Linked DNA regions of Oryzias latipes. The protein of the gene in region 1 purifies or fractionates together with the protein of each later gene. This does not show direct contact. Links are inferred from orthologs where the notes say so. Each region holds a gene or a part of one and is shown in the gene's direction. Other genes may lie near its edges.

Region 1 (4,743 bases):
GATGCTCTAAGCAATGTGAACGGTGGCTGCCTGGAAAAACTTGGTTTTATCCTGTAAAACTGGAGTAAACGCCAACGCAACACATATATGGACACACGCCAAGGTGACCTTATATGACCACAGCTATCACTGTCAAAAACACAGAAAGGTTCAAAGCAAAACCCTCAGAGAGACTGCTGTAAACATGTTTCAAAATAAGAGCATACAAATAAAAAAGCAAAAATAGAAATCATTTCAAAATAAAACCAAGGTAGAATTAGAGTGCAAGCACATTCATGTAAACATCTTCGCTTAAAGAAGCACTGCCATGAAAATGGAGTTTTAAACGTGTTCTTGTAGCATCTTTTGATGATGGGAGGACAAATGGAAAGAAAATGAAGCTCAAAATTCCGTTTCTGAGTGTCTTCTTTATTCAAATCAATGCAAATCGGGAGCAGACGGAAAAAAACGTGGTTTGGAAAACATCGTATTTGTGATGAAGAAACAAGCTTCCTGCTCCGCCCCATTCTTAAGCATCCACCTGCATGAACGACGAACGTTTTATTTTAAAGAACTCCTGCCACGCCGCAGGAGCTCCGATCAAAGGTTCAAATGGAGAACATTTCCTTCAAAGCAAGCTGTTTGACTCCCTTTTGTTTTTTTGCATTTGGCCTCACAGGTCGACCGTCCTCTACACTCTCGTGTGCTTCAACTTCAGCCGGACCTTTCGCCAGGTTAAGAGATGCACAAACATGGAATAAACAATAGGTTTTGAACTTTCTATACACGCATTCTACAAATAAATGTGCGTTGAGTGTGTATGTATGCACTGCAGAAGATTCCCAAACTTTTGGGCGGATTACAGACAATACTTGTGCAAACAAAGGAGAGCAGCTATTCCACCACTTCTTATGCAGGTCAAGGTCAAACGCAGAGGAGGCCACGTTCCTGTTTGCACCCTAAAACCAGCGTTCAGAGGCGCTGCTGCATCACGTGATCACGTGATCCATTCAGTCACAGGTTCCTCAGGTACCAGCTCACCTGCACGCATTCAAATGTGTGTCCTTTCCGGGTTCAAGTCCAACCAAATCAGCTAAAGCTCGTTTGCATAGTAGTTAGGGTCAAACAACAGTGTCAGGTGTCAAATAGTTGAAGATAAATGTCAAATAAGAACATAAATAATACCCCCCCCCCCCCCCCCCCCCCAGGTTTAATTAACCTACATTTAGCTCGTTTTCTTGTCTTTTTCTATGACTCTGCTGCATTTGCTACTCTAAAGTGTCATATAAACAGCAAACTCCGAACCCACCGTTCCCGGACGAACCTCGGCTCTGTGACTCGTCCCAGCCTCGCCAGTACCTCCCCACGCATCCTCCCATGGCCGGAGGGGCTGTGGTCGCTCCCCGCGGGGCTTCACTGGCTTCCAACGGGGCCCATGGCGACGAAGAACCGAGTCCGGCGAAGATCAGAACCCGCAGGTGCAGCGCTGCTAGCCGGATATGTCATCCGGTGACAACAAGGCGGTGAAATCCGGTGGGAACCGTTAACAACTTTTTTTCTGTTGTCTGAATAACCGGTAAAGTTCGGTTTAGTTGCAACTGTAAACAGAAAAGCTTTCTTGCTAACAGGCTAACTGGGCTAACCAGCTAGCTCCGCCAGAAAACACAAACTTCCGCGTGCTCGATGTCATTTCCCCGAGTTTTATCTTCCCTATAAAAGGGTCTGGAGGTAGAGCTTCACTCGGAGCTGAATGCAGAACCGTATCACGCCCTTCACGCGCTCCCGGACTACTTTTCTTCAAAAGACTTGGAAAAACTCCTCACTTTCTGTTGCTGCTGGTTGAGAAAGTGTTCAGAAACGAGCTAAGGCAGGCGAACTTTTCTGCACATGCGCAGACAACCAGGCAGGTGGGTCTGAAGGAAACGTAAATAAATGATAGCAGTGACGTCACAATAATGGTTCAAACCGTCTTTGATATTAGGAGAGAAAAAACAATACACAATGACAATAAGTACATTTTAAAAGGGCACAAAGTAAAAATACTATCAATAAAGTACAGATTCTTATGAATATTTCACTTTTTTGTAGGTATTTTTCAAACTTATCCAAACAAATTAGGATTTTTCCATATAGTTTAAAAAAATACTGAACAAAAACGTGTGAATTCCAGTTTATTATAACGTCACATGAAAACTTAGATAGAATGAATGCAGTCATACGATGAACAAAAAAATATTTTACGTAGTTTAATATCTTCTGGGATTTTAATCCAGATCATGTTATCAAACGGTTTCAGCTTTTAGTCCAGCTTGAAACATATTTCACTGCTTAATTAATGCACTTATAAAAGTATGACATCTCCAATAACACCTTTATGACCAAACAAAAATGATCAAGCTTAATAAATTGTTACATTTATACTTGTTTATGTTTTTTGAGATACTTTGAATGTAATGGTGTCTTGGACATAAATGTGTCGTTCTTTTGTGTAAAATCTCTATATTTATTTTATTTAAAAGCACAAACAATATTTTTTAAAAATATATTTATATTTTTTCTTAACCAAGAAAAAAAAAGTTGGACTTTGGCGTTTGAACTTTCTGCACATGCGCAGTGTCAGCAGCGTGGAGGAAGCGCGATGGCTGCGGACGGTGCCTTGCTGCTGTCTCTGGTGGAGGAATTCGTCTCCGGATTGCAGGACAGCAAAGCAAAGGACGCCGCTAAAGGTACAGCAGTCGTGTCCGGTGTTTGTCCTCACATTTACCAGCGGGTTTGTGTGGAAAACTGAGCTGGAGCCGTTAGTTTCCCATAAAGGTGCGTGGGGGTTAACTAGCTAAACTTAGCGTCACAACATCCTGTGCGGGATGCTGCGTGAGAAGCTCCTCCTGACACTAAACATGTCATGAATCTGCCCTTTTTCCGGGGCGGCAGGAACTCGCAGCTATCTTTGTTTACTGAAACCATGACTGTACCTGCAGTCTGCTGTGGTCTCGTGCCTGCTGCTAGCTAGCTGCTGGCTGGGCGCGAGGAGGATCCTGTCATTGAACCCTCAACCCCCGATTTACCTTTGATCCCGAGTTTGTCTGTGTGGGCAAAGCAGGGAAACACGTCCAGACTACCGAACCGATTCGGTTCCGATTCAGCACAGACCTGATAACTTATGACGTATCAAATTAAAGGAGTTTTAATTATACCCAAAGTAAACAGAGGGGGATCTTTCAAAATAAAACGATCACTTATGTCAATCAAATTTACTGAAGTTTGTTTTTCCCCTGATACTATATTTATTTAAAGGCTGTTATGACGGAATACTGAGGCCACCATGAAAGAAAAGCAAATATTTGACAATGAAGTTGTAACATTATAAGAGAAAAGTTCAAATTTTTACAGGAATTCAGTCGTGAAATTATGAGGAAAAAAGTCCAAACTTTATTATGAGAATTGAACTGTAAAATAATCTGAGAGAAGTCTAAATTTGACGCAAATAGTCCTAAAATTTTCCAAAAGAAATGCATATTAAATCAGTTTTTAGTTTTTTCCTTTTAAAATTCAGACTTTTATTTATTTACTTATTTGAAAAAGTATGACTATTTCCTTGCAATATTGCAACTTTTGAAGTAAAACATTTACAGCTTTATGTTAGAAAATTGTCGTTTTCCCTTTTTTTAAAGTTTTTTCTTGTACATTTTTTTTCCTTGTAAAATTTTGTCTTTATTTTTCTCAGAATTGTACAACTTTATTCTATATATGTACTCATTGTTTCCGTTACCGTGGTCCTATTTGCACGTAAGGCGGCGGGCGCGTTCTTACTTCGACCTCCACTGCAGCGGCAAAGGAAAGCGATAAATACGCTGATGGTTCACATCAAGCAGCCAATCAGAATTGAGACCCGGACCGTGGTATAATATGGATTATTTAAGCTTTTGTTGACATATTATTGATTCTTGCTCAGGTGTCAAAGATGGAGCGTTTACAGTTTTGCAGTTAGTGGAAGCGTTGGGGTGAGCCTTTGTCTTTTTCTCCTTTACTTTTTTACAAAAACACAAAAAAGTGACGCCGTTCTTGTTTTCAATCGACTTCCCGTCCACCCGCAGGCCCAGCCTGACCAGCTCGCAGCCGCAGACTCGCGCCCGCGGCGTCCAGCTGCTCTCCGAGGTCCTACAGGACGGCCGTGCAGAGCTGTCGCAGAAAGAAGGTCAGAACACCAAGCCTTTTCGTCTGCTCAAAGTGAGGAGCGTTGTTGACATCCTGTTGTCCCATCGCAGTGGAAGTGCTCATGGCTTTCTACCAGAACCGCCTCAAAGACCATCACGTCACCACTCCGCCCGTCCTACGGGGGCTGCTCGCCTTGGTAAACTTGGGGGACCCGGTTTCAGACGGAGGCGCTGCTGGAGCCTCCTTGTAAGTTTGTGTTGGTTTCTCCTCAGACCAAGTGTGCGGCGCTGCCTCCCGGCTCGGCCGTGTCCATGCTGAGGTCGCTGTTCCAGGACGTCCACGTCCAGGTGAGGTTCTCCATGAAGAAACCAGGATCTCCTCCACTTCCTGTTTTCCGGTAAAGGTCTGCTCCGTGCCGTTTGTCTCGAGGTCTATCTTGACGTTGTTGTTTTTTGTCTCTCAGTCGCTGATGCTTGCAGAGCGAGCGTGTGTCTACAACATGCTCACCAACCTGATGGAGACCAGGGAAGCCGGTAAGAGTCTTCCTCAAAGTGAAGGGGTTCTGTGCTGCCCGTCCCAGGAGATGCAGAGCCATCAGAAGCTTTATAA
Region 2 (3,432 bases), on another chromosome or scaffold:
GAACTTTTAGAGTGTGAAAACGTTCATGTGAGTCTGAGAAAAGTGGCTAAAGTGTGTAGCGGGGAGTTTCACAGCCTTAACACATCCACTGTCCTGCTTTAGGGATTTCAACTATCACTGGTTATTTATAGGGCGTAAGCCCCGCGATAAATGGGGGAACGCTATAGTCCATTTGGTCAGATTGGAATACAGGTGGATGATTGACGCGAGCGTCTGCTCCACGCTCAGGTGCAGGAGAGGAAGACACTGAGGGCTGGGTGGTGTCTTCAGAGTCCTGCAGCTTTCAGTCCATCGGTGCAAAGTAAGTTTGTTCTTCTGGTGCAGCGTCCTCTGACACTCGCAGGTCTGACAGTTCTAACCGGATCTTCTCGTCCTCGCTCAGGTATCACAGAGAGGTCCTGCCAGGAGAGATCGTCCGGATATCCAAACGCGGCATCGAAACTCTGAATGTTGTGCCCCGTCCTGAGGGAGACCCCCCTGCCTTCTGCATTTTTGAATACGTTTATTTTGCCAGACCAGATTCCATTTTTGAAGGTGGGCCTGTTTGTCATTTATTTACTTTGTGTTCTGTATGCCAAGCTACTAAGATTCGAGTGTACTCCAGGACAGATGGTGTACACTGTGAGACAGCGCTGTGGTCGGCAGCTCGCCATCGAGGCTCCAACAGACGTAGACCTGGTCAGCACTGTGCCCGAATCTGCCACTCCTGCCGCCCTGGGCTATGCTCAGCAGGTCTGTCCCAGCTCGCATACCAGGAAACGCCGTTGCACCGTCTGCACGCCGTCCAACCTCCCATAATTTCCCCTCCCTGTGCTCTCCTCTCAGGCTGGGCTTCCGTACATGGAGGTTCTGTGCAAGAACCGCTACGTTGGGAGAACATTCATTCAGCCAAACACGCGCCTGAGACAGCTGGGAGTGGCAAAGAAGTTTGGAGTTCTGACGGACAACTTTGCAGGGAAGCGTGTGGTGCTGGTGGATGACTCCATCGTCAGGGGCAACACGATCTCCCCCATCATTAAACTGCTGAGGGAAGCTGGTGCAAAAGAGGTCAGTCACACAGACTGACAAAAATCGGATACAAGCTCATTCAGATGGTGTTTCCCTGCCGCTTTGATCTGCAGCTCAGTGATGTTACAGGAACAACACTGACTTTAACTCTAATTACGATGTTTGAAGTCCCACTCTGATCATTCTTTTATCTATTTGTAAAGTGTTCCCAGGGATCTTTTTATTATGATGGCGTTTTTGGCCAACACCAGACAAATCTGTCGTTTTCTAGGACATACTTTCTGCAGAGCGGCAGGAGTTCATTACAAATGCACCTTTTGCATTTTGGCTGGAAGTTGAGAGCTCTCTGTTTACACATTCTCCAGCCCCTCAAATGGCGAGCAATATCAGAGCCAGACTCCAGCTCAGACGAGGAAAACAGACGTTTGTAGCTTGCTGACTGTAGATTTTGATAAAACGACTACAAGTTTATTCAAACTGCATTTTTTTTTCTGCTAATGACTCAATAATTTGAATAAATAAGTACTCAGAAATGCAGTTTTAATCTACGTCTTTGTCATATATATATATATGCCCTCCATCAGAAAAACGCCCCAAAGTCATGTTAGAAACACCAAAAACGCCATTTTCATCAGAGTGGGTCTTTTTAAAGGTTTCCCATGTTTTGCAATAACATGAAAAACCTTTCCCGGGGGGCTGCTTCCCTCTCATTTAAATCATTTACTTAAAGTAAACCAGCCAGTCCTCTTCCGTTAATAGAAAAACTCCAAATCTAGATGCTCTGAAACTGCAATCCCAATTTGCGCCTGTGGGGGCAGTAATGCATCAGATTCACAGTTTCCCCCTCAAAAAAGTATCTGTTGAACCGTTTCGTGCCACTGTTTGGTTGCTCCAGGTTCACATCCGGGTGGCGTCTCCACCCATCAGGTTCCCGTGCTACATGGGGATCAACATTCCAACTAAGGAGGAGCTCATCGCCAACAAGCCTCAGTTTAAGGACATCGCTGGTTATCTCGGTAAGCCGTTGTGTTCAGTTTCACAGCAGCACTGCGGCCTGCAGAAGATCCTCCTACTCTTACTATGGGTGTGCAGGTGCCGACAGTGTGGAGTACTTGACTGTGGAGGGGCTGGTTACAGCCGTCCAGGAGGGGGTCGCAGCCATGCAGGACCAGATGGGCTCCAGAAAATCCAGAGTCGGCCACTGCACCGCCTGTCTGACGGGGAAATATCCAGTGGAGCTGGAATGGTAGCTGCTGTAGGGACCAGTCAGCAGATCCACAGTCTGTGCAAAACTAGAAATGTGTGTTAGAGTCTAAGGACTGAGGGTCTTTACAATCTGAAAAAACCTGGATGTGATTTGTCTTCTGTGGACTTTATCTTATGTAAGGAATGCAAGAGCAGTTTGTTACCAAAGAGTTAACTTTATTTTATAATTTAAAATGAACCATTGGTGCTTTGTTTTCCATTCTAGTAAAAAAAAACCATGTTTAATAAACAGCATTCAGAGAACACGCTGTACTAAATTGTTGAATTTCCAAAACCTGATGCTTTTCAGCCTCACCATCCAGATAACAGAACTTTAAAAACATTTAACGGCTACTTTCAAAGTGAAATAGCAACACATAAAAATTTGGCAAAAGCCCAGAGAAATAGAACAGTCTCAGTACATGCTTCAAGACATTGGACATGGAAAACAATTTCCTGCTGTTTGTTCCTGTGGGTCTCTTCACCTCCAGCCTGATTTTGGAGATTTAAAATCAGAGGAACTGCTGTCCAGACCCACCAGCAGGAGTTCCCCAGAAAGCAGACTTATTATACATGATGTCCTCCTCGTAGAAAGACCCCACCTCTTCATTTGGTGTTTAGTAGAAGAGCTTGACGGGACTGTTTGCTGCAGAGAAAGCTCTGCTCTGTGACGGGCCCCGTTTGGAGGGAGTGTAAGGGGCCCTGCTCAGCAGCTCCTGGGGAGACGGCACGGGCCAACGCCGCAGCATCTCTCTCCTGTGATGTTTGGACCCGGGGGAAAGGGTGCAGCTCTCCTCCCGGAGGCGTTTGGACTGGGGGCTGGTGTCACATCCCAGCTCCCAGTGGCGCTTCCTGAAGATGGGTCTGTGCGGCGACAAGGCAAGAGCAGCGAGAGCTAAAGAAGAGCGACACCTGCTGGCCACGGAGCTGCGAACACAGAGGCGGCATGGAGGGGCGTGCGAGGACGCCATCTTGTTCTGACACACAAACTTGTGGTAAAGTTTCAGAAAATCTTCGTCGATCTTCTGTGGGGAGTCGGAAGCGGCGCGGGGCTGGGAGGAGTCGAAGGAGAGATGTCGCCTGAACTGGCGCCGGCCATCTTTAGGGCCAGATGAGCGAGGAGAGTAGGTCTGAGGCTGATGGGGATCCTCTGGATAGAGCCTCCTTGGTGGCACGTCA
Region 3 (4,660 bases), on another chromosome or scaffold:
GCAGAAAAAGGGTTTGGATAGAAACTGATCCTAAGAAGTGTTAAGAATGTGACAGTTTGAAAAATAAAGATTCATGATGATAAATATGTGGTTTGTCCATTCTTTCCAGATGTTACTTCTGTTTAATTCAAGAAGGGCCCACGTCCAGAGACTTTAGTTTACTAGTCCTCTGAAATTACAAAAGTGAGGTGCTTCATATTATAGCATTTGTAAACTGTGATCTGGTGCTAAATCTGGGTAAAGTATTAATCATTTAGTGTTGCCTCCCTTTAAGCTATGCAATTAAAATAATTTCCTGGAAAAACAAACTTCTTGGACTTGGGCCCGTATTGAATTTACAGATTCAATTTTTTTAAAGGCAAAATAAGTTGTGAATATTCATTCAGTGGTAAAATACTTATTAAAACATTTTTTAGGAGTCTCTCAATGGGCACAAATTCAAGGATCTCTTTCGAAAAGAAAGAGTTACAATTTCGTCCAAAATTAACTGCTTATTGGATGTTTGACACTTAAAAGATGTATATTTTATGACCCACCAGAGAATGTTTTCTGAACACGAAACACAGCAAGACGTCATTTTTGTAGGATATGTCAGTATTTTATTCATTCAAATTTTTCACAGTAAAGCAGAAAATTGCCTACAATTTCGTAAAAGTTTTACCTTGTTATTTTTTTAATCTACTCACCAGTTTAAATGTCTATATGGCTCAACAATTAGGGGGAAAAGAAAGATTTTTTTTCCAGTCAGTTAGAAAATATAACTTCAAAACTTGAGCACTTGTTAGTTTGTCATTATTTATTTATTGTTGATTGTCTATTGTTCATGACAGTTTGACAAGGAAACCAAGTACAATAGCATAAAACCATATTTAGGTTTTGGATAATAATAATAATATTGATTTATTGTATATCTTACTTCTATTTCTGCCTTTTTAATAAGGATTTTTTTGACTTTTTATTTTTAGTTGGCCTCTTTTATTCTATTGTATTTGTGTGGTTTTATATGAATGATTGAACTATTGGTTTGTAATAAATTTTATCTATCTATTTCTTTTTTCCTTTCCTGTGTCCAGAGCATTGACTGCACGTAGAAATAACTACACACACACAGTCAATGGTGTAGAGCTGTAACGGGGACATACTTAAGCAAAAACAACTATAGACAGTTAAAAATAAACAAATAAAAGATAAACATATTTAAAACTATATATTTTTGCAAGAGTGCTATCCTTAAACAAAAACAGCACAAATTGTTTCAGTTTTACACGCCTCGGATGTATCTCTCCAACTAAACTACATTTCCCATAACCCTTCTCTAATTCGTCACTTCAGAAAAGAGGATGCACGGACATTTCCTGGTTGTGGTGACGTCGTGAACGGAAGTCCCCTGTGATTGGTTGTTTCTGTTCTAAGTTTTCCCGCGCGCTCTGCAGCAAGCAAACGCCACAGTGAGCGTTTTAGCAAGAAGAACAGACAAGCTAGCGTCTCGCTGGTATTTTTGAACCATTTACAATTGTTGTCAAAGCTGTAGCTTTATGAGAATGTCGTATTCAGACTACGACCCAGCTTGTCTCCCAGACTTATTACCGCTCTACTACCGGCGACTGTTCCCCTTCTCACAATATTATCGCTGGCTGAACTACGGCGGAGGTGAGTGTTATAAACAAACACACGCTGTGGAATGTAGAAGAAGTTAATGTTGGGATGCTAAACCGCTAAAGACTGTCAAATATTGAGTGCTTAAAGTTATCGATTGTGTTTATTCAGCCGCTGACAGGATATCTGAGAGCTGATTGTGTAACAACAACAAACCCAAACATTGACATCGATTAGGATTTTATGAAATATATATATAATCCTCCCACTTGTTTTTTTAAAACACATCTATTTAGTAGAACCTTATATTATTGTAAGTTGAATTCTAATTCATGGTTTAATTTAGCTGAATATTTGGTCAAAATAACAAGCGAATGTTTGAGCTAAAGCTTGTGTTTGGTTTCATAAAATGAACAGATCTTTCTTTCTTCCTGCTTTTCTTTCTCCTCAGTGCAAAAAAACTACTTTCAGAACCGGGAGTTCTCCTTCACTCTCAAGGATGACATCTATGTTCGCTACCAGTCATTCAGCACGCAGAACGAGCTGGAGAAGGAAATGCAGAAGATGAACCCTTACAAGATCGACATTGGAGCAGTTTACAGTCACAGGGTTGGTAACCGTGGTTCTGATGTTGCTTCTCTGAGCATCAATGCAGACATGCAGAAAGAGCTGATGGCTTCCTTTACACCTGCAGCCTAACCAACACAACACCGTAAAGTCTGGCAGCTTCCAGGCTCTGGAGAAGGAGCTTGTGTTTGACATTGACATGACCGACTACGATGATGTCCGCACCTGCTGCAGGTAGAACTATTGATATGCCATTACTTTGTAATGTCTTTGCTTTCTCCATAAATGTACTAAATATGTCAAAACTTCACTTGTAGTGCTGCAGATATTTGTTCCAAGTGCTGGACGCTGATGACCATCGCCATTCACATTCTGGACAGGGCTCTCCGAGGTTTGTCTTCAGTGTCTCTTCACCTCTTTTTCACTGCTCCACACCTATTTGAAGCCGCAGTCTGCTTTCTGGCATTTCCAGACGACTTTGGTTTCCAGCACTTGCTGTGGGTTTACTCCGGCAGAAGAGGAGTGCATTGCTGGGTGTGTGATGAAGCTGCCCGGAAGCTCTCTGCCGCAGGACGTTCCGCTGTGGCAGAATACCTCAGTCTGGTCAAGGTAATGTGGTGCAAATGGGTTTAATTTAACAGTTTATAAAAACAAAAGCGAAAGAGGTTTGCTTGTTTAAAAAATAGAGACAAGTGTGGAAGATTTCTTCGTAGTAACATTCAGTTCCCAACTGACAATTCATTTTGCCATTTTAAAATGTAAATTCAATGTAAAATAAGAATTCAATGTTACATTTTTAAAAATGTAATTTGAAATAAAAACCACTAGTCATAGGTTTTTGTTACCATAATTAAAATTACAAGTAAAAATGGATTTTGCAATTTATAATTCAATGTGGAATTTGGATATGCATATTGAAAATACATTTTCCAGTTTATAAATCACTATTAAAAATATATATATTTCAGTTACTTGTTTGTTTTACATTCATCCTAATTTAACATAAACTCTATTGCTTTTCTATTTGCCGTGATATTTCTCTGTCAAAATTCTAAAGAAACTGCAAAACATTTGTCAGTTTGGTATATTCATCTGCCACATGCGTTTCTAAATTGCATGATCAAATTGCAAATTTAATTGTTGATTGAGAATTGAATATTATTTTGAATTATGGGTGGAAAAAAAACTTCCATAAATAAGGGAACATTGTTGATACATTTTCATGCAGTTCCTGTAAATCTCTCTTTTTCAGTTTCTGTTTATTGAACTCATGTTTGCTTCGTAGGGCGGTGAGGAGACGGTGAAGAAAGTGGTCCTGACAGATCCAATTCATCCCTTTATCAGGTAATAACCCACATTTTAATGTTTCAAACGCATTCTATTTTTATCTGCAGTCCCACATCAGTGAATGGTGTGAATCTTTTATTTTTGGAGACTTTTAACCATTTTTAAAGCATCAAACTGTTCTGTTTTACTAGAATTGAACATTTTCTTCTGTTTAGGTTTCAGTTTGTTCAGATTTCCCACATTTGTAATCTTAACAGTGCATCTTTGGAAGTGGTGGAGAAATACTTTCTGGAATACGCGGTGCAGGACCAAGACATACTGGGTCGCAAGGAGTGTGTGGACAAAGTGCTGGCCCTTGTGCCTGAAGATATCCTTTTTTTTAAGTCACAAGTTTTGTGTTAATATGAGCCAATAAGATAAAACAATTACAACCTTAATACACAAAAACATGTCAGAAATGAATTGCAGACCAAAATGAAAGGTGTGAAGCAACCAGAAAAACTCTGGAAAATGATAAAAAATGAAGCTAAGAATAAGCAGGTTTGTACTTTTCTATAGGTTTATTTTATAACATCTTTTTTTCTTGTGCAGAAGGACGTCTGTTTTTTTTTCTTTTCTTAGGGTACTGTGAAAAAAGGCCAACACTTTGAAAAAGAAATCATGCTGCAGTACTGTTACCCTCGGCTCGACGTGAACGTCAGCAAAGGGGTGAACCATCTGCTCAAGAGTCCGTTCAGTGTCCATCCCAAAACAGGTGATTATGCCTTAAAAGGAGCAGAAAGTTTGCAGTCATTAAGACAAATTCATATAAATATGAAGCCAGATTTGACAAAAATGCAAATGTCATACAAGAATGTAAAAAACAACAACTGTCAAACTTTCAAATTAAGGATTAAAAGCAAACCTTTAAAGATGCGATATTTTGTTATTACTTAAAATAATTAGCTCTCTTTGGAATGGTGACTGTTGTTGAAATAAATAACTGAAGCTATTGCACGCTTTCTGTTGTAAACTATTTGAAATAAAATAGAAGACAAGATGAACTACTGGGCTTTGGAAGATGAATATTGTCCTGCCCCTTTATTGTTATATTGGATTACACTATTCAAGAGTTCACCAAATTCTTTCAGTTATATTTGCAGTTTAGCATTGCGCTCAATGAAAACAAAAGACAGAGCAGTCTGTGGGTTGTTTTTTTTTCATATTCCAG
Region 4 (4,654 bases), on another chromosome or scaffold:
CCTTGCCGGGCGTCTGGTTTGTGAACTCGGTCTCCCGTCTCTGCAGGATGCGGCAGTGGGCCAGAAGAGAAGCAGAGCGGATCATCTGTCAGAGGGAGCAGCAGGGCCTGCCGCTCATCGAGGAGAACTATTACGACCCCAGCAAGATCATCCTGCCCTCATCCAGGGAGGAGTAGCTCTGCTCCTGATCGGTTTCATGATAATATAATAAACCATTTTTGTTGGAGTTTGTGCTTTTTGTGGAAAATGACTCTTTCTCTTCAGCTGTGTTTTTAGCAAAGGCTGTCACGCGTGTTCAAACCTGTCAAACATCTGCAGCTGTGACATGGTCTGCAGGTGATCAGAGATGAGGTTTGGCCTTGCTTTTAGGCTTTCACTGGTTAGTTTTTAACCCTGGAAATCTACACGAGATTGAACTTTAGAAATCCTTTTCGACCTGCGGGATTGGAGCGATGGCTCCTGCTGTGTTCCTGACAACTACTGAAAGTGTGGATTCTTGATGGTTCTAGTTGGTGGATGTTCAATCAATCAATTTATTATTAGTGTAGTGCTTAGAAAAGCAGAGGCAACCAAAGTTTAACATAAAATCACAAACAATGAGATGCAATAAAGAAACAACCAAAAAACAAATCAATTAATAAAAGAATACAAGTAACAAGCTGTCCCTCTAGATCTGCTCGCTGGAGTTAAAAACCAGAGTAAAAAATGAGTTTTTAAAAGTGTCTTAAAATCACTGATGGTTCTGGCAGACCTCACAGAAAAGAGACGAACATTCCAGAGTTTAGGACACGTGTCAAACTCGAGGCCCGGGGGCCAAATGTGGCCCACCATGTCATTTTCTGTGGCCCGCAAGAGAAGTTTTCAATTTCTTCAAATAAAAACAAAATTGTTGTGTATTTATTCATATCTAGGGGGGATCTGGTCAACTATACATTAGGACTGAAACACTGTCCATATAACCTAACCTGACAGAATCAAATGTAAAAGGATTTATGCTAGAATAACAACTAGACATGTTTTCAATGCAACTGTCACTTTAAAAAGTTAATAAATAAATAAATGAGTTATTTAACATTAAGGAGTAGTTAGGTCTATTTTTCATTACATTTAGTTACAGGTATAAGTTATATCTGGCCCTTTGAGGACAGACACTATGCTGATGTGGCCCTCAGTGAAAATGAGTCTGACATCCCTGGTTTAGGAGTTGCAACTGAAAAGGCTCGGTCTCTCTGAGTCACCAGCCGACTCCTTAAAAGCATGTGATCTTCAGATCTCAGGACTCTGCTCAGACAATTGGACATAATTTCAACATGTTAACCCGAGGAAAGCTACGTTTATTTTTTTTTTCTACTCCAGTAGGATCGTTCACGATCTTTAATCTGAAAGGACGGAGGCTTTACTTCCGACGTTTGAAGGGACGTGAACGTCCCATTTTACTACGCGTGCGCAGTGGGTTGAAGCGACGCTGGCGCGAAGCTTCTGTTATTCGCCGAGCATGAAGCCAGAGCAGCTAGCATTCCGGTAAACGTAGTCGGTTTCTGACGGCAGTTTGAGGCGCGCGGAAGCCCAGAGAGCTTCGGCTGGAACCCGCTTCCCGGGGCCCAAAATGCCGTCACTTACCCTGCATGGAGTCACGGTGGACTTCCCCTTTCCTCCCTATGACTGCCAGAAGGACTACATGGCCAAGGTGCTCCAGTGTCTGCAGCAGGTGAGTCACTGACGGGTCCCCGTGGTTCCGACGTTGGTGTCGGACGTGAGCCGTAGCTTCAGAAAGGTGGACAGAGTTTTTAAACCCCAATGGACGGTCGGAGAGACTGTCTTTCCTTTTTCTACAATTGTTTTAAAGCTTTTGTGGCTTTCCTGCTCGCAGCGTGTTTTGTGTTTAAAAATAGATGTTTGTTGTTTGGAACTTCTGTTGCCTCCCCTCTTGAGTGTCTTCTGCCATCTCTCACCCCACAACAAAGATCAGACTGATGCACAAAACATCTATAGCATTCTAAATGTATCAACTACATTACATACAATCATCCTATTTGAAATGACAGAAACCAGATAAATGTTTCATAAATCAGAAACCGTGTGTAATGTATTCTTTAGTGTCTAATGCATATTGTAATCCAGGATTCATCAGTCCAGGTCCTGAGGGTTTTGATCAGGACCTGGTCCCACGTGGTGTTAGTGTGATAAATACAGTGGAAGGTTCCTTTTTAGTGTCCTCACCAATCAGAAGCTTTGATTAGGAAGCCGACTTCAGTATGAAACATTTATGTCTAAACGTTCCTGTGAAAGTAAACAACAACAACAATAATAATACATTTGTAGTGTTATTTCAACAGCTGACCGACTAAAGTAGACTGTGACACAATGGAAAACAGGCACTCAGACCAGGACTACAGCTCATTTCAAGGGTCCAGCCTAAACAAAGAGGCTGAGATATCCAAGATTAACGGCCGGTGGTTATAGAATCAACACAGCGTTAATGAAGGCGGATGTGCACACAGAGCAGCTCCAACCAAGGTAGATGATCGTTGAAGGAGGTCTCTGTGTTTCTGTTATTCCTTTAACAGCATTCTTGGATTTCTTTGAACGTTCATAATTTAATAAAAGTTTACATTTTCACCAATCTTTAATCAGGTTAAGTCAAAGTCACCAAGTGACGAGGGGGGAAAAAACGGTTACCATGGCAACAGGCTACTCACACTGACTCCGCATTGCAAACAGGAAGTACCTGCTGGCACCAAGAAGCCAAAATTCCATAGACTTCTTCATCTGACACCCTTTTTAACATCTCCTCACTAATCTTTTTTTTTTGTCCATGATATTATTTATTTGTTATTTATATTTATTGAAGTCATAAACTGGCCAATCAGAGGCTGCAATAAAAGCATGTGATGCCTGCTGGCCCCCACCTCGAGCGTCTGTAAAGTTTGATTGACTGATTCTCAAGAGCCTGGTTTAGGTGGAAGGGGGCGTGGACTTCAAACAAGCTCACTCCTGATTGGCAACCAAAGAAGAGTTGGATTTAAATCTTTGTTCTTGTTCTTGTCTGATGATGGTGGAAGAGAGTTCCAGTTCTGTTCTTAGAGACATTGTTAGAGTGGAGATGGGCTGAAATCTGAACTTATCTCAGCCTCTGCTCTTGTCTTTTTGGTGTTTCTATATTGTATTACAGTTTTTGTTGGTCTATTTACCATTTTGAGAGGTTCCTATGGCACCTCATGCCATAGAAACATTGATTCATACTGACTCGGACCAACCACTGCTTCCTAACCTTATCTGGCTCCAAATGGCGGTGTCTGTATCGTGGAAAAACGGCGACTGAATTGAATTCATTTGGTTGGAGCTGGAAGTAAGTTGTTTTCTGTGGGTGATGTCACACTGACTCAGTCCAGTTCTCAGATACAGTCTGAACACCAAACCGTCAGTTCATACTGCAGCCATAAATATCACTTTTTGTACATTTCATCCATCCACACATGCATCCATCTTTTTCTGCTTATCCAGAGCTGGGTCACGGGGCAGCAGTCCATGCAGAGATACCTTGATCTTCCTTTCCACAGACTTTTATAGCTCATCTAGGAGTCTGTCTTTCCAGAGCGTCCTGGCTTGTCCCCGTTACCTCCTCCTGGTGGGACATCCCTGGAATACCCTTCCAGGCAGTTTTCCAGGGGGCATCTGATCTGAAAGAGATGAATGAACCTCCTGAACTCTTGATGTGGAGGAGCAGCGGCGCTGCTCAAAGCTGCTCCTGGATGGACGAGCTACTCACCCTAAAAGAACCACAACCACGCTGTGAAGGAAACTCCTTTCAGCCGCTTGAATCTTATCTTTTTAGTCATGACCTAAAGCTGTGCATTGGTGAGGATAGGAACATACAGTCAGGACCATGAATATTTGGACAGAGACACATTCTTTCTCATTTAGTTTCTGTACATTACCACAGTGAATTTTAAATAAAACAACTCAGATGCCATTGAAGTGCAGACTTTCAGCTTTTATTCCATTGGTTGAACAAAAAGATTGCATTAAAATTTGAAAAACTAAAGCATTTTTTAAACACAATCCCTTCATTTCATGGGCTCCTAAGTAATTGGACAAATAACTGAAAACAAAATGGTCATTACTAATATTTGGTTGAAAAACCTTTTGTTGGCAATGACAGCCTGAAGTCTTGAACTCATGGACATCACCAGATGCTGGGTTTTCTCCTTCTGAATGCTCTGCCAGGCCTTTACTGCAGCGGCTTTCAGTTGCTGTTTGTTTGTGGGCCTTTCTGTCTGAAGTTTAGTCTTCAACAAGTGAAATGCTGCTCAATTGGGTTCAGATCAGGTGACTGACTTGGCCATTCAAGAATATTCCACTTCTTTGCTTTAATAAACTCCTGAGTTGCTTTGGCTGTATGTTTTGGGTTGTTGTCCATCTGTATTATGAAACGCCGTCCAATCAGTTTGGCTGCATTCACCTGGATCTGTGCAGACAGTCTGTCTCTGAGCACCTCAGAATTCATTGGGCTGCTTCTGTCCTGTGTCACGTCATCAATAAACACTAGTGTCCCAGTGCCACTAGCAGCCATGCACGCCCAGACCATCACACTGCCTCCACCGTGTTTTACTGATGATGTAGTGTGCTTTGGATCAGGAGCTTCTCCACGCCT
Region 5 (4,030 bases), on another chromosome or scaffold:
GTTGAGGAAAAATGGGTTTGAGAGGAAACACCTCCCTGGATTCACAGGTTTTCTGTATCTGGATGTAGTATAGACACGAGGAATTAACTGATACTTTTCTCTTTCTTTCAACTCTGTATTCTCACTAGATGGAAATAGATCTGGCAGGACAGATCTTGGTCCTGGATGAAGCCCACAACATTGAGGACTGTGCAAGGGAAAGCACCAGCTTCACTCTGGATGAGAGCAGCTTGAAGACGTGCAGAGAAGAGCTGGACAGCATGGTCAAAAACAACATTAGACGCTCCCAACACGAGCCTCTCAGGGACTTCTGCTACGCTCTCATCAAGTCAGTCATCGATTGGATCAATTTGCCGATGCTCTTGTTTCATCTTGCAAAAGTTGACTTTTATTTTCTGTTGTGTTGCAGCTGGATTCAAGAGTGCCAGGTCTTGTTGTCTGAGCGTGGATATGAAAGTGCCAGTAAAGTCTGGAGCGGGAAAGACATACTGGGCATCTTTTATGGTTTGGGCATTACAGCTGACACCTTCAGGATTCTAAAGGTACCCTAATCCTTGTACCGGTAGTCTTGTTTGAAGCCGTTTGTCCATGTCATTGATTGTGCAGATGCTCTTCCACTGTTTCTCTTTGTTATAGCAAAATCTTGCAGCTGTTTTGGAAAAGGAAGAGCGTGTGGGCTTGGTTCATGGAAAGGAAGACATGGTGCAAGTCCCAACCATCAGTTCAATGACGTCCACTGTCCTGAAAAACCTCTTTATGGTGCTCGACTTCCTCTACAGGGACAACTGCCGGTCAGAGACAAATTCATGCTCTGTTTTTCATATCACACCAGTTCCTCACAGCACAAACTCTGAAGAAAGCTCTGCATGCCTGCAGGTTTGCTGAGGATTACAAAGTAGCTCTCCAGAGGAGCTATTCATGGACCAATCAGGTCCCGCCTGATGTCCCGGATGCCCAAGGCTTTTTGGTCCGGCCCCGACCACGACGCCGCCAGACTGCCAGAGTCAAGACTGAGATCCTGACGCTAAGCTTCTGGTGCCTTAACCCCGCTGTGGTGAGAGACTCTGCATGCAAGCCTCTGCTGTCTTCTAATGATGGCGGCAAGCAGTTGAGGAAGCACACAGACGAGATTTTGACTAGTGCTGTCAAATTAACGGGTTAATCACCATTATACCATGTTCCGGGTGAATACTCGATTCTGATTGGCTGCTAGATGTGCGTTAAAACCTGATAACGCACGGTGAAAAAAGAATTTCCGGTCACCTAGCTTAAATGTTTTCTATCACTGAACTTTCTCTCTGAGCTGATACTTTATTCAACGCATCGGAAAGATCAGCATATATATAGCGCCGAATCTTGACTGCAGTGGTGGTGCGGCGCGACGCGGACTATTTGTTACGTGATGCGGTGCGTAAAAAATAGTCTGCTTTGTGAGAAAAGCGATCCAAATCGAAAAAAAAAACAAGAATTAAGGACTAAAACCTGGTTAATTATGTATTGCTTTTTTAAGTGACCATGGTATAAGCGGGTTAATGGCCTTCGAAATGTGCATTATCACTTTTTAACGCACTTCGCTGAAGCAACCATCCTCATCTTCGCGTCGGACGGTTCAGGCTTCCACGGCGTGTTTAAAAAGTGATAACGCACACTCCGTCCGCCATTAACCCTCACTTAATTGATTACAGACAAGTTATCGCGTTATTTTTTTAAATCTTGTTATTCTAATTTTTTAGCACTCTGGACCTGATGTTTAGTTCTTGTGTTTTGTTCACACCTTGTATGTGTAAAAGCAAAAGTTGGTAGTCTGTTCTATTAGGAAAACTTCATAAAGCTAGTTATTTTTTTTTAGTTGCACATTGATCTTTTCTTGCACCACAATGTCATGAATTTAAATGATGATATCTGAAAGTGAGGCTTTTTACAACTATTATTACGTTGAAAATAACTCTGGCTAAAAACAGATCATTTATTAATTACAGGTCATGATAAATTAATCGGACAAAAAAATGTATTGCATGACAGCACACATTTTGACCATGTCATCCTGTTTGTACTTCCCAGGCTTTCTCTGACCTGAGTGGCTCAGTGCGCAGCATTGTGTTGACATCAGGAACACTGTCGCCCATGGGATCCTTCTCCTCTGAACTTGGGGTGAAATTTTCCATTCAGCTTGAGGCCAACCACGTCATCAACAAATCCCAGGTTCCTGACATAAAAATATGACTCATATTGGGGGGGGGGGGAGAATGAAATTTTAAAATGGATCCATGAAAACCTGTAATATGACATCAACAAGACTCATAAGCTTCAACTTTTTTTTCCTCTTGTGGCAGTTCCATTTTTGTCCTCTGGATGTCATCGTCTAACCATGAAATAGCAGAAATGTTCAGGCCTGAAGAGAGAAGCTGATAATCCACTTTCAGTATCTCATGTTCTCCTAAAGTTTAAAGTCCCACTCCAATTACGTTTTTATCAATTGTCAAAGTGTTCCTAGTGCTCTTTTTAATTATGGTTATGAACATTTTAATCCAATTTTTCAAAACAACTGTTGTTTTCTAGGACATATTTTCTGCAGAGCAACAGAGGTTTATCAGAAATGTACTTCTGAGCTGGAAATAACCCTCCACTGATATCCCATAATCCCTTAGTTTATACTCTCCCCCGCTGTCTTGCAGCCCCTCACAACCCCAACCTTGTATTAGTGGTGAAACAAAAAGGGTGAGCTCCAGCCGTACAGTTCTGATCCAGATTCCAGCTCAGATGAGAAAAACAAAGACGTTCATGGATCTGTTTGTCTGACAGTGGATGATCAGAATGGAGCAGAGCAGGGAGCTTGTGGCCCAACCATTTCGGTTGCTGGATCAAAACTGAGAGACTTTTTAAACTACGTTTTTTTAATCTGCTCCTGATCCACTATAAACTGAATAAAGAAATACACAGAAACACAGTTTACATTTTAAATTATTTTACACATGTCCTTTATCACAAGAAAAATGCTACAAGGAGATGTAAAAAACACACCAAAAAGACCATTTTCATTGGATAGGGGGGCTTGAAGACAACATTAGACGTGTTGTTGTTGAGTAGATGTGGGGCTGGCTTGATAAAATCGATTAATGGATCTGAATTGATTCAAGCTTAATAAATCAATCATCGATCCATAAAAGTAGAGATCGATCTTTTATGCATTTACTTTTCCGGGGACTTGAGTATATATAATGGAATTTCCCATAGGACGGCTAGCGCTTGTTCGACCTAAACATACATTGCTGACTAAATGAACAGCTTTATTTACTCACAGGCATACATTTTCTAAAGTTTTTAAAGGAAACAATTTTTTAATTAGCCATATGTGGTCTAAAGCACCGTTTTTTTTGCTCAAATATTCTGGAATAAAGTGTAATGCTATAGCGCGTGCTCCACCTAGTGACCACATTGAAACGCTCTCCAGGAGAGGCAGAACATTTCATTTTGTAATATGAATCATTTTAGAGCCGTTACAATGTTATTGATCTGCACATTTTTGTTGGAGCTTCTCTTTTTGTGTAACACTGTTGGTTTAACAATCTCATTGGTTTATTATTTCACTAATAAGTTTTACATTACGTGAACTGCGAATATCTTTAAAACATGTATAGATTATTATTACATTTCTATACAAATATGTCTAAATGTGTAAACAGTGTAAAAGTGCTAAATCGAATCGATTCAGGCTTGAATTGATTCTGAAAATGATTGGTGACACCAGCCCTATAAAAAAGTGTAACCCCTCTGCTAAGGACCCAAAGTTATTTCAAATCAAAGTGAACTCCTTTTTTTTTAGCTTTTACTTTGTCTCTTTTAGGTTTGGGTTGGAACAGTTGGTGCTGGACCTCAAGGAAAGAAACTGTGTGCCACCTTTCAGCACACTGAAACCTATGCATTCCAGGATGAGGTGGGCGACCTGCTGCTCCACATCTGCAAGGTCATAGCCAAAGGTGTGCTCTGCTTTTTGCCATCATACAAGGTTAGTATTCAACAAAATAAACTG
Region 6 (4,030 bases), on another chromosome or scaffold:
TGTGAAATAACTCAAAATATGTAAATTGATGATATCATAATTTTATTGTGTGTAGCAGGGTGTTTGCACATCACTGCATAAATTGACGACAACAGCAAGGCAAAAGATTTACATGAAGCATAAAGGTTCATCTGTATTGTTGGAAAACTTTTTTGCAGTTAAGCGACAAAGAGAAGAATGAGCTGAGTGACAAACTCCTGATGTCGAGTTACTCCGTCAGTGGAGTCACCGTGGAGAAGCTCGAGTTCTACAAGGTCAGTTATGAAGGAAATGACTACATTAAAAGATCATTTTTTGTTTGGAATCTTTTTTTTTTTTTTTACAATAGTCAAAAATAAACAAAAGAAGTCTTACAGTTTAAGGTGGAAAATGTCGCCATTTGTTTTGTTTGAGATAAATTGGAGGAAATGATGGAGATGAATAATTACTGCATCAAAGGTTAAAGAATACTCTACTAATCCTGATGCTTATTTGGATTTTTAAATGTCTATTTTTCTTTAGGTTCCTTTTCAAGATGCCCTTGATTTAGTGCGATCTCGAAAAGTGTATCTAAAAGCTGGATTTGCATTCGTCCCTCAACAAGACATCGTTACCATCGTCCTCAACGATTTCCGCACGCGCCTCTCCAAAGCTCTGGCGGTAAGTGATCAAAACTGCTCTTTAGTTTACAAACAATTATGAAAGTTTTTGAATAAATCTGGAACAAATGAGACAAAAGCAAATATGTGTTTGTAGTTAGATTTTCCATCCTGTCGCACATCTTTAAAAGACTGGAAACTCGCCAACAAATTAGTGCCAGAATAATTACTCCAAGTGCTTTTTAGATTTTGTTTAGCTTTAACACAACTTCACATTATATTTGTGTCTAGTGTGTTTGTTTTTTCTGCTTACGGAGAGGCTGTTTCCAAAAAGACAGGGTTTTGAATTGCTGCTGTTGTCTTTAGTGCCCTGAGGGGACCTGGAAAGCTCAGGGTTCGAATGAAAGCAAAAAGTGCCCAAATGACATAAAATGTCTGAAGGCGATATCGGGGACAACTGCTGTTGTTACTCCCCCCTCCAGGCCTGGTTGCTTTAAAGCTGTGGCATGTTTGTCTGGGATGACATCATGTCTGAATGTTTGTGCATTGTGCTAAAAGCCCCCAGAGGATATGAAATCACGTGCTTCTGTACGAGTGAGGAGTCCAGACGGCAGCTTATCTGCAGAATCGTTTGGTCCAATTGAGCAGACGTCTCCTGGTTCTGATTTTTAAAGCATATAAATGGAAAACATAGAAAAACTGAGTTGTTTCCTGATGATTGATTGAAAGGTGCAGGATTAGCCAGGAGATTGGAGGAGAACAGGGAAACCTTATTATCAACCTGTGATTTGTCCATCTGATTTCATTGCCAGCCGCCCGCCATCTTTGTCTTCTGCTGCTGCTTTCCCAGCCTCTGGGTTTGTATGGGTCGTGAACATTTTTGGAAATTGAAAATGCAAATTTTAGGTCCTTGAAAAGTTTGTGAAAAAATAATATCTTCTGTAAAGTTTTGAAAAAGTCATAAAATCTTAATATTTTGGATGCAAAAAAGCGTAAAAAAAAGGTTTAACTTGAGATTTGAATTTAAGTTGTGGCAGAAGTTCAATCTTACGCTATCGGTGACGGGAATTGAAAGCAGGTCGAGTTGTCATCAGTTCAGCGCGTGACGCTTTCAACTTGCTATCAGACATGGATTGTGAAATGTCACGGAATGCTGGGAAATGTAGCTTTAACAACAAGTGGCTTTTCAAGGAGAAGTAGCGACTGTGGCTAAGGAAAGACCCTGACCAGAGAGACGTGCAAAATGCAGACTTTGCTCCAAGTCCTTCGACATTAGCAGCATGAGAGAACCGGGCTGGTGAGCCACATGAAAGGGAAGAAACCGCTACGAACGCTGCAGAAGCCAGTCGGTCAGAGAATCTTCAGCTGTAGTTTGTACATAGAAACTACGAGCTCTTTCATACGTCATATTCTTTATACGTGTCCTTCATGACAAAAATGCTACAAGTTCATGTTAAAAACACCAAATACACAATTTTCAATGGAGAGTTTCTGCTCTTACTGTTAAAGATCTATTGGATGATCTGTTGGTTTGTGGAAGTGTATTAATTATAAGAAAAAAAAAAAGCTTGAATGTGTCAAACATGTACTTACTTCAAATTTACTTAAAGTTTTCTGTGTGTGCTGTGTACCGTTATATATCCTGATTGGCTGTACACCATTGTCGATCTTTGTTCTGTCTCCTGTACAGAATGCGTTCATTTTGCCAAATATACATAAATCTTTTGAACGCCAGCAGATCTTTGTTTTTATTCCATAATTCTAGGCTTATATTTCAACAAAGGTTTGAACTTAGAGAGTCTAAACAAGAGAGAAAAGTGTAACAATGTTAATATCTCTCTGAAAAGAGGAAAAAAAAGCATAAAACGTGTTGTTAGGGGTTTTACTGCCTTAAAACATTGATATAAATTGTAAAAAGTAAAGTTGACCACTTCACAGATTTCCCATATTTCAAGTTATTGTTAGAATGCAACTCCCGCGATAAACCACAGTAACCAAAAATAAAAGCATTTTGGATTTTTAACGCCACTAATTTGTACCTGCTGCATCTCAGTTGGGTCCTGTGGGTTTCTGGAAACGGTCCCTCGTGTCTGAGTGAAGCTGGGGGTCAGCAGCCTATTTCAGGGCCACATTAGGACCCACCCGGGGCTTAAAGCGGCACTCTTGCTGTAAGGCTAACCTCCATAGTGCCGTGTAACTTAACATGATAGCAACATGTTGGAAATCCCCCTGTCTGTACTGTTCTGCAGAAAACCTATTAACAGACATATTTACAGCAAAAATTATAAAGTCCCCACTGTATTACAGTCAATTCCACAAAACCATTTATGTTTGTATAATGTTGAGCTCTTCCTGTATGGACTCAGTAATCCGTATATTTTCACGTCATATTCATGACGGGCTGCTTCTGTGTACCCAACATGTTTTTGGTTGTTGGGTTGTAACCAGAGCAATGCTGTGCATCAGTGTTTTCACACTGACTGTTGGTGGTCTATATGGATACTAACGCTGCTTCAGAGAGCCCAGTGCTGTCTGCGGAGAAACACTTCCTCATTGTGGAATTTTAGTGTCTTTTTCTCCTCAAATACAATTACAGAGCCACAACTAAACCAAAGAAATGCACTTTGCTTTACTAACAGACCATTAACTGTTAAAATGCAATTATTCTCTAAAAAATAACTTTTTGCTTGTTGTGGCTTTGCACTGCTGCACCGTACATATTTAAGAGGTTTTGAAGGTTGAGTTAAAACTTGTAATTTTTAGGATTTCAGTTCAAAGTGGACTTTTTTAGACTGACTAGAAGCTGAATCCATGCAGACACAAACTGGATGGCTTCAGTTAAACACATTAAGGTGATGTTGGTGTTAAATTTGCTTGCAGAAGTCGTAACGGTCTGTTTTGAAAGGTCAGGCAGCCAAACGGCAGCGTGAGCACCGGCCGGCTGTTCCGATTGATTTAGCGAAAAGGCCGATCCTTACAATTTTCTGCGAGTACCGTAATCCGTCAGGTTGGACTTGATCAGCGGTGTTAAGCTTTTCTAATCTTTGACCAGCACTATCTACCATTACTCATTTGTTGTCACAGCTGACGGCCCGCTCACTACCAGCAGTGCATTCAGATGAACGCCTCCACCCACTCCTGAACCACCTCAGGTCAGTCGCACCACAAAAGACCTTTCCCTGAATCTATAGCTTCTCTGCAATATATGTATATTTTTGCTGATGCAATACCTTGTCTTTTATTTTTTATACTTAGTTATTCATGGTTGTTTTGTTAGTTTAAAAAACATTTTCTTTTATTAGAAATAATTCCACAAAAGAGTGAGCGCTCGTCTTTAGTGAGAAAATCTTTGATCACGTTTTTTTGATGAAACCTTTACACAGATTTTTATATTGTGCCATTTGAAAAACTAATGCTGGGAAACTCCAGTGTTGACCCCCAGGCGAAAAAAA
Region 7 (4,702 bases), on another chromosome or scaffold:
ACATAAGAATATCGATTCAGGAATTTCTCAATCATTTCAACATTTTCTGAGTGAAGATTATAGACTCAAGTTGATTCATCAATACTTTAAACATAGTTCCAGATTTAGCACATACCTCTTGATTAGCAGTGTGGTCAGTCTCCACCCGTTTACAGTCGTTATGTAACTTGTGCTGGATAAATGCTTCAAGCGTGGAAAATTCGGATTGACAGCGTCCACACTTGTGTACATCGTCTAAAAACACAAAGACGAAGCATATTTAGCTACCATTAGCTTAAAAAACTATCTAGCACCAAAAAGCTATCACCTGCTTATCTGGGCATCTTTTAAAAAGGCCGCTGACAACTCAAACCTGCAGCAAAGCCGTAAACTAGATGTTGCTAAAGACGAATTAGCAACAATTTCGCGATGGAGGAAGTTAGCAAGGCCCAAACTACGGACAAAAAACCCTGATTTTGGGAGTGTTTTGAACTGGCTGAAAACTAACCTTCATCTCCAAGGGTGGTTTGAATGGTGATAGTCTCACTGCCGTTCGTCGTTCGCTCCTTCTCTGTTTCTGCCGTATGATTATTTTCTGCATTCATGTCGTTTGACTTCTCCGTCTCTGTCGCAACGCTGTGCTGGGGAGGGAAAACATGGCGGATTTACGACCCTGTAGTCATAACAACAAAAGAGCGCATGCACTCGCATGCAGAAGATAAAATAATAAACGAAACATTTAACCACAAAAATAAAAAGGCATTCAAAAAACGATACATTTGTTATTATTATTATTATTTATTTTTTATTATTTTTTTGTTGAAAGAAAACGTGATAAAATCGTTAAAGCTGTCGTCATTTATATTTGGATTTTTACTTATATTTCATTTGTATTTTTGAAAAAATATTACTCTATAAATGTTCCAATAGCGATAGTAAAAATATTGGCATTTATATTGACAATGCACATTTTACTACATAGAGATGCAGTATGTCAAACACACAACCATCATCACGAATAAAATGTCACCTCTTAGTGTAAACCACAAAGATTTTCTATTTAAAAAACATTCCATTTTTAAAATTACTCTTGAATTATTTAAGACTCTTCAAATTACTGTATGATATATTTTAGGATGAGCATCTGACATCTTTTTGTCAAGATTCTCTCAAGGCACTTCACAAAAAGCAAACTGAATGAAGCAATGTTGTTTTATTCAGACTTTCCCCTAAAGTTGTACTAGATTGTTCAGTATAGGTTGTTACAATCTGACCAAAATTCCTTTGTTGTATTTATATTTTGTCCCTAATTAAGTGACCAACATATTCTAATACAGGTTCTTTTGTGTGTTCCACTTGACATATAACTAATAAAATGCAAACTTTAAAAAAAAAAATATTACATCTACAGAAGAAACTGTGCAAATACAAACAATTAGCACAATCAAGTTAAAAGTTGTTCTAACTAATAGAAAAAATCTTTTGACAAATTACAAAGATATAATCCATTTGCAAATCTGCAAATTAAATTACACAAAAAAGCCTTTGTGATTTGTGAATACGATTTGAATAGATACAACATAAAACAACCCAAGTATTTACCAGATACTGTGGTAAAAAAAATGTATTTACTTATTTTATCTTAGTTGACAAATGTTGCACATACAGAACATGCATGGCAAACCCATTGACTGTATGAGAGAATGGGGCAAACTATTACTATTAGTGGAGCCTGAACGTGCTCTTCCAGACCAGCATTTCACGACACAAGAGTAAACAACGGGTTTGCGGCAGTAACTATGGCCTCTGTCTTCAGCGGTGTACTGCAACTGACAGATCTGGACGATTTTATCACCCCTTCCCAGGTCAGTGTCAAAAATAATACTTAAGTTTATTCTAGAAGGACATTACAAGCAGAGGAGTTTCGCTTATTTCCCAATCAAAATGCTAAAAGCTCAGTTCGCTCTTAGGGAGCTAAGCTAGCATGCTCTGGTGGTGGTAGTTGCTCTTGTAAGTGCTGTTCCTGGAAGAAGAAACCAAAACAAACAGATTCTAGTTAGCCTTTACGTTAGTAAACATGTAGTGTTCGTTTCTAGTTTTTACATATATTACTTTCGTCTAAAATTACAATTCATTGGCAGCAAAAATAACGAATCGGTTAGCTTTTGTTTTGCTAATGGTAACACAGATGTCAAAACATGGAAAGAAGTTGCAGTATTGATCGGACTTTCAAACAGACAAAAGTCAAAACACATGGATAAAACATGTCTTTACTTCATGTATTCGTCATTCATCCTGTTGCCACTGACTTTTGTTTTGAGCTCCTGTAACCCCAGATGCTTGAATGATGCCCCTGTATCCCCTCCAAACTTATGACTTCTCAAGACGAAAATAACACTTAAAGGCCTTGTTTTCTCCACCTACATTTGGTCAATGATAAACTATTACTAATTCAATGTGATCAAATCTAAGCTCTCTGATCATTCTGACTTTTGTGGTGTAAATTTGCTTACAGTTCTCCCATCCCATTTTTGCATGTTGACAGAAACTACGTATCAGGTTCAACGGTTGTTTACCTTTTTGTTTTTTTCATATCTGTGTTTTTCGTTAGGAATGTGTCAAACCAATAAAAGTCGAGAAGAAACAAGGCAAATCTGTGGCCAGAATACAGATAGAGGATGATGGTAGTTATGTCCAAGTCAACCAGGTGAGGATTCACACTTATTTTTGCCTTTTAGTCTGAGGTATTTGAATCATGAATGGACTTCATAGAGCAGACTGTCAGAGTACCAAATGCAATAATTTAGTATCATGCTCATGGAAGTGTCTTGTGTTGAAAGGATGGCGGGAAGGAGAAGCTGGAAAAAGCAAAGATCTCACTGAACGACTGCTTGGCGTGCAGCGGTTGCATCACCTCAGCTGAGAGTGTCCTCATCACTCAGCAGAGCCCCGAGGAGCTTTTAAAAGTGCTTCGGAACAACAAGGTAGAGTGTTTTGCTCAGTTTGTCTACTTATGGTTGGGTTTGTGTTCCGCTTAAGTCTTCGTTCCCCCACAGGGTGCAGCAGAGCAGAAGACTGTGGTGGTGTCCGTGTCCCCGCAGTCCAGAGCGTCCCTCGCTGCACACTTTGGTATCAGCAGCAGTGAGGCAGGAAGGAGGCTCACCTCTTTCCTCAAAAACCTGGGTAACGTTTCCCTCTTTTAATGTTTCATAAATCAAGTTGAAGCAGTGGCTGTGTACGTGTCTGAAAGATGGTCGCTTTTTTTTACAGGGGTTCACTATGTGTTTGACACCAGCTTTAGTCGGACCTTCAGTCTGCTGGAAAGTCAGAGAGAGTTTGTGGAACGTTTCCAGAGGAAGGGACAGGACAACAAGGCTCTGCCCATGTTAACCTCCGCCTGTCCAGGTACGGACATAGAGCTCCATGATAGAAAATAGAAGCCAAAACTTCACAACTTCTTTGAAAGCTTTTAGCTTGATTTGAATGTGGAACGGAAACCACATTTGTGTATTTATTTTGTTTTTGAAGGCCTTCTATTTCGTATTTTATATATTTATCAAAGCCTAATAGTGAATGTTCATGACATTATCTTTAGCTCCAAAAGCTTAGACAGAGTTTTCAATCGGAATCTCAGTATCACCACTTTGTTTCAGGTCCTTGACGTTTTTTAAGGGTATCAGTTTACGCTCTTCTTTTCTCTGAAAACGTCTCTGAAAGGTTGAGGTCAGGACTTTTGCTGAGCTGTTGTAGCAGCTCAACCCCCCCCACCCCCCACCCCACCATGCTGTTAATGATTTGCTAGGGTGTTTGGGATTGACTCACATTTGACTTTGCGATGTTTGACCGTCCAGTTCATGACTGAAGCTGTGACAGCAGCTCTCATTAAAACTAAAAAAAGACAATTAGCACAACTTTTCTATAGGCTTTGGTTAGGAATGAAATAGTTGGTGCATCAAACGCTTTGAACTCCATTCAGACCAAAGTGTGCGTTTATGTGTGTTCAGGTTGGATCTGCTATGCAGAGAAGACACACGGGGAGTATATTCTCCCATATATCAGCACCACCCGCTCCCCCCAGCAGATGATGGGGTCTCTGGTTAAAAGCCACTTTGCAGAAAAGCAGGTGGGGTTTGGATTTCTCCGTTCTGTAAATATTTCAATAAAGACTAACTGAGCTGGATCTGTTTGTGCTGTTAGGGGCTGAGTCCTCAGCAGATTTACCATGTGGCTGTGATGCCCTGCTTCGACAAGAAACTCGAAGCGTCACGCTCAGATTTTTTTATGAACAAAGCGGAGACCAGAGAAGTGGATTGTGTCATAACGTCTGGTACAGTAATTACCCTTATAAGTAATACTTAGGTGCATATGCAGCATCCACATGGTTATTTGTCTGTCCTCTCTTCAGGAGAGGTTCAGAAAATGCTGGAGGAACATCATATTTCTCTGAATGATGTTGAGCCTGGAACTCTTGATTCGATGTAAGTTCCCTCTTTTTTTAAGAAAACTTTATCTCTCAAAACTCTTCTGATGCTGCCTATTTTTACCCTCAGGTTCAGCAGCGTCTGTGGGGATGAGCTCCTGAGCCACGCTGGCAGTGGATCCGGAGGTTACCTCCATCACGTCTTCACCTATGCTGCTAAGCAGCTCTTTGGAGAAGAAGTAAAGGAGCTCACCTACAAAACTCTAAGGTTTGCTCACCTATATAAATTGTGTCTTTTTACAA

The links.
Region 2: the proteins of mms19 (region 1) and ppat purify together in Homo sapiens (affinity purification with mass spectrometry; 3 studies listed by BioGRID and IntAct, with this or other methods). This does not show direct contact. The link is inferred for Oryzias latipes from reciprocal best matches to the Homo sapiens genes MMS19 and PPAT.
Region 3: the proteins of mms19 (region 1) and prim1 purify together in Homo sapiens (affinity purification with western blotting; 3 studies listed by BioGRID and IntAct, with this or other methods). This does not show direct contact. The link is inferred for Oryzias latipes from reciprocal best matches to the Homo sapiens genes MMS19 and PRIM1.
Region 4: the proteins of mms19 (region 1) and rtel1 purify together in Homo sapiens (affinity purification with western blotting; 4 studies listed by BioGRID and IntAct, with this or other methods). This does not show direct contact. The link is inferred for Oryzias latipes from reciprocal best matches to the Homo sapiens genes MMS19 and RTEL1.
Region 5: the proteins of mms19 (region 1) and brip1 purify together in Homo sapiens (affinity purification with western blotting; 3 studies listed by BioGRID and IntAct, with this or other methods). This does not show direct contact. The link is inferred for Oryzias latipes from reciprocal best matches to the Homo sapiens genes MMS19 and BRIP1.
Region 6: the proteins of mms19 (region 1) and prim2 purify together in Homo sapiens (affinity purification with western blotting; 5 studies listed by BioGRID and IntAct, with this or other methods). This does not show direct contact. The link is inferred for Oryzias latipes from reciprocal best matches to the Homo sapiens genes MMS19 and PRIM2.
Region 7: the proteins of mms19 (region 1) and narfl purify together in Homo sapiens (affinity purification with mass spectrometry; 3 studies listed by BioGRID and IntAct, with this or other methods). This does not show direct contact. The link is inferred for Oryzias latipes from reciprocal best matches to the Homo sapiens genes MMS19 and CIAO3.

What each region holds. Positions count from the first base shown.
Region 1 is NC_019877.2:1,649,282-1,654,024, reverse strand, and holds the start of mms19 (MMS19 nucleotide excision repair protein homolog), read left to right. Parts: upstream 1-1,778; 5' UTR 1,779-1,886; intron 1,887-2,593; 5' UTR 2,594-2,617; coding exon 2,618-2,705; intron 2,706-3,931; coding exon 3,932-3,980; intron 3,981-4,073; coding exon 4,074-4,174; intron 4,175-4,244; coding exon 4,245-4,330; intron 4,331-4,406; coding exon 4,407-4,481; intron 4,482-4,597; coding exon 4,598-4,667; intron 4,668-4,743. Other genes in the region: ubtd1 (ubiquitin domain-containing protein 1), read right to left, coding at 1,289-1,358. UniProt on the Homo sapiens protein: Key component of the cytosolic iron-sulfur protein assembly (CIA) complex, a multiprotein complex that mediates the incorporation of iron-sulfur cluster into apoproteins specifically involved in DNA metabolism and genomic integrity.
Region 2 is NC_019862.2:3,971,841-3,975,272, reverse strand, and holds the end of ppat (amidophosphoribosyltransferase), read left to right. Parts: intron 1-228; coding exon 229-301; intron 302-382; coding exon 383-534; intron 535-604; coding exon 605-732; intron 733-825; coding exon 826-1,047; intron 1,048-1,903; coding exon 1,904-2,024; intron 2,025-2,100; coding exon 2,101-2,258; 3' UTR 2,259-2,517; downstream 2,518-3,432. Other genes in the region: uncharacterized protein LOC101171480, read right to left, coding at 2,871-3,432. UniProt on the Homo sapiens protein: Catalyzes the formation of phosphoribosylamine from phosphoribosylpyrophosphate (PRPP) and glutamine.
Region 3 is NC_019865.2:19,076,495-19,081,154, reverse strand, and holds the start of prim1 (DNA primase small subunit), read left to right. Parts: upstream 1-1,405; 5' UTR 1,406-1,535; coding exon 1,536-1,650; intron 1,651-2,047; coding exon 2,048-2,205; intron 2,206-2,290; coding exon 2,291-2,397; intron 2,398-2,480; coding exon 2,481-2,554; intron 2,555-2,635; coding exon 2,636-2,772; intron 2,773-3,448; coding exon 3,449-3,507; intron 3,508-3,707; coding exon 3,708-3,817; intron 3,818-3,898; coding exon 3,899-3,990; intron 3,991-4,071; coding exon 4,072-4,204; intron 4,205-4,660. UniProt on the Homo sapiens protein: Catalytic subunit of the DNA primase complex and component of the DNA polymerase alpha complex (also known as the alpha DNA polymerase-primase complex - primosome/replisome) which play an essential role in the initiation of DNA synthesis.
Region 4 is NC_019865.2:31,300,708-31,305,361, reverse strand, and holds the start of rtel1 (regulator of telomere elongation helicase 1), read left to right. Parts: upstream 1-1,435; 5' UTR 1,436-1,606; coding exon 1,607-1,708; intron 1,709-4,654. Other genes in the region: ndufb11 (NADH dehydrogenase [ubiquinone] 1 beta subcomplex subunit 11, mitochondrial), read left to right, coding at 47-176. UniProt on the Homo sapiens protein: A probable ATP-dependent DNA helicase implicated in telomere-length regulation, DNA repair and the maintenance of genomic stability. Acts as an anti-recombinase to counteract toxic recombination and limit crossover during meiosis.
Region 5 is NC_019871.2:30,042,066-30,046,095, reverse strand, and holds part of brip1 (Fanconi anemia group J protein), read left to right. Parts: intron 1-128; coding exon 129-328; intron 329-409; coding exon 410-542; intron 543-636; coding exon 637-791; intron 792-876; coding exon 877-1,054; intron 1,055-2,061; coding exon 2,062-2,202; intron 2,203-3,844; coding exon 3,845-4,006; intron 4,007-4,030. UniProt on the Homo sapiens protein: DNA-dependent ATPase and 5'-3' DNA helicase required for the maintenance of chromosomal stability. Acts late in the Fanconi anemia pathway, after FANCD2 ubiquitination.
Region 6 is NC_019873.2:24,446,993-24,451,022, forward strand, and holds part of prim2 (DNA primase large subunit), read left to right. Parts: intron 1-158; coding exon 159-254; intron 255-501; coding exon 502-639; intron 640-3,662; coding exon 3,663-3,730; intron 3,731-4,030. UniProt on the Homo sapiens protein: Regulatory subunit of the DNA primase complex and component of the DNA polymerase alpha complex (also known as the alpha DNA polymerase-primase complex) which play an essential role in the initiation of DNA synthesis.
Region 7 is NC_019866.2:12,257,092-12,261,793, forward strand, and holds the start of narfl (cytosolic Fe-S cluster assembly factor NARFL), read left to right. Parts: upstream 1-1,720; 5' UTR 1,721-1,778; coding exon 1,779-1,844; intron 1,845-2,590; coding exon 2,591-2,686; intron 2,687-2,819; coding exon 2,820-2,963; intron 2,964-3,035; coding exon 3,036-3,162; intron 3,163-3,249; coding exon 3,250-3,384; intron 3,385-3,983; coding exon 3,984-4,102; intron 4,103-4,176; coding exon 4,177-4,306; intron 4,307-4,384; coding exon 4,385-4,457; intron 4,458-4,529; coding exon 4,530-4,667; intron 4,668-4,702. Other genes in the region: transcription factor E4F1, read right to left, coding at 116-234, 488-584.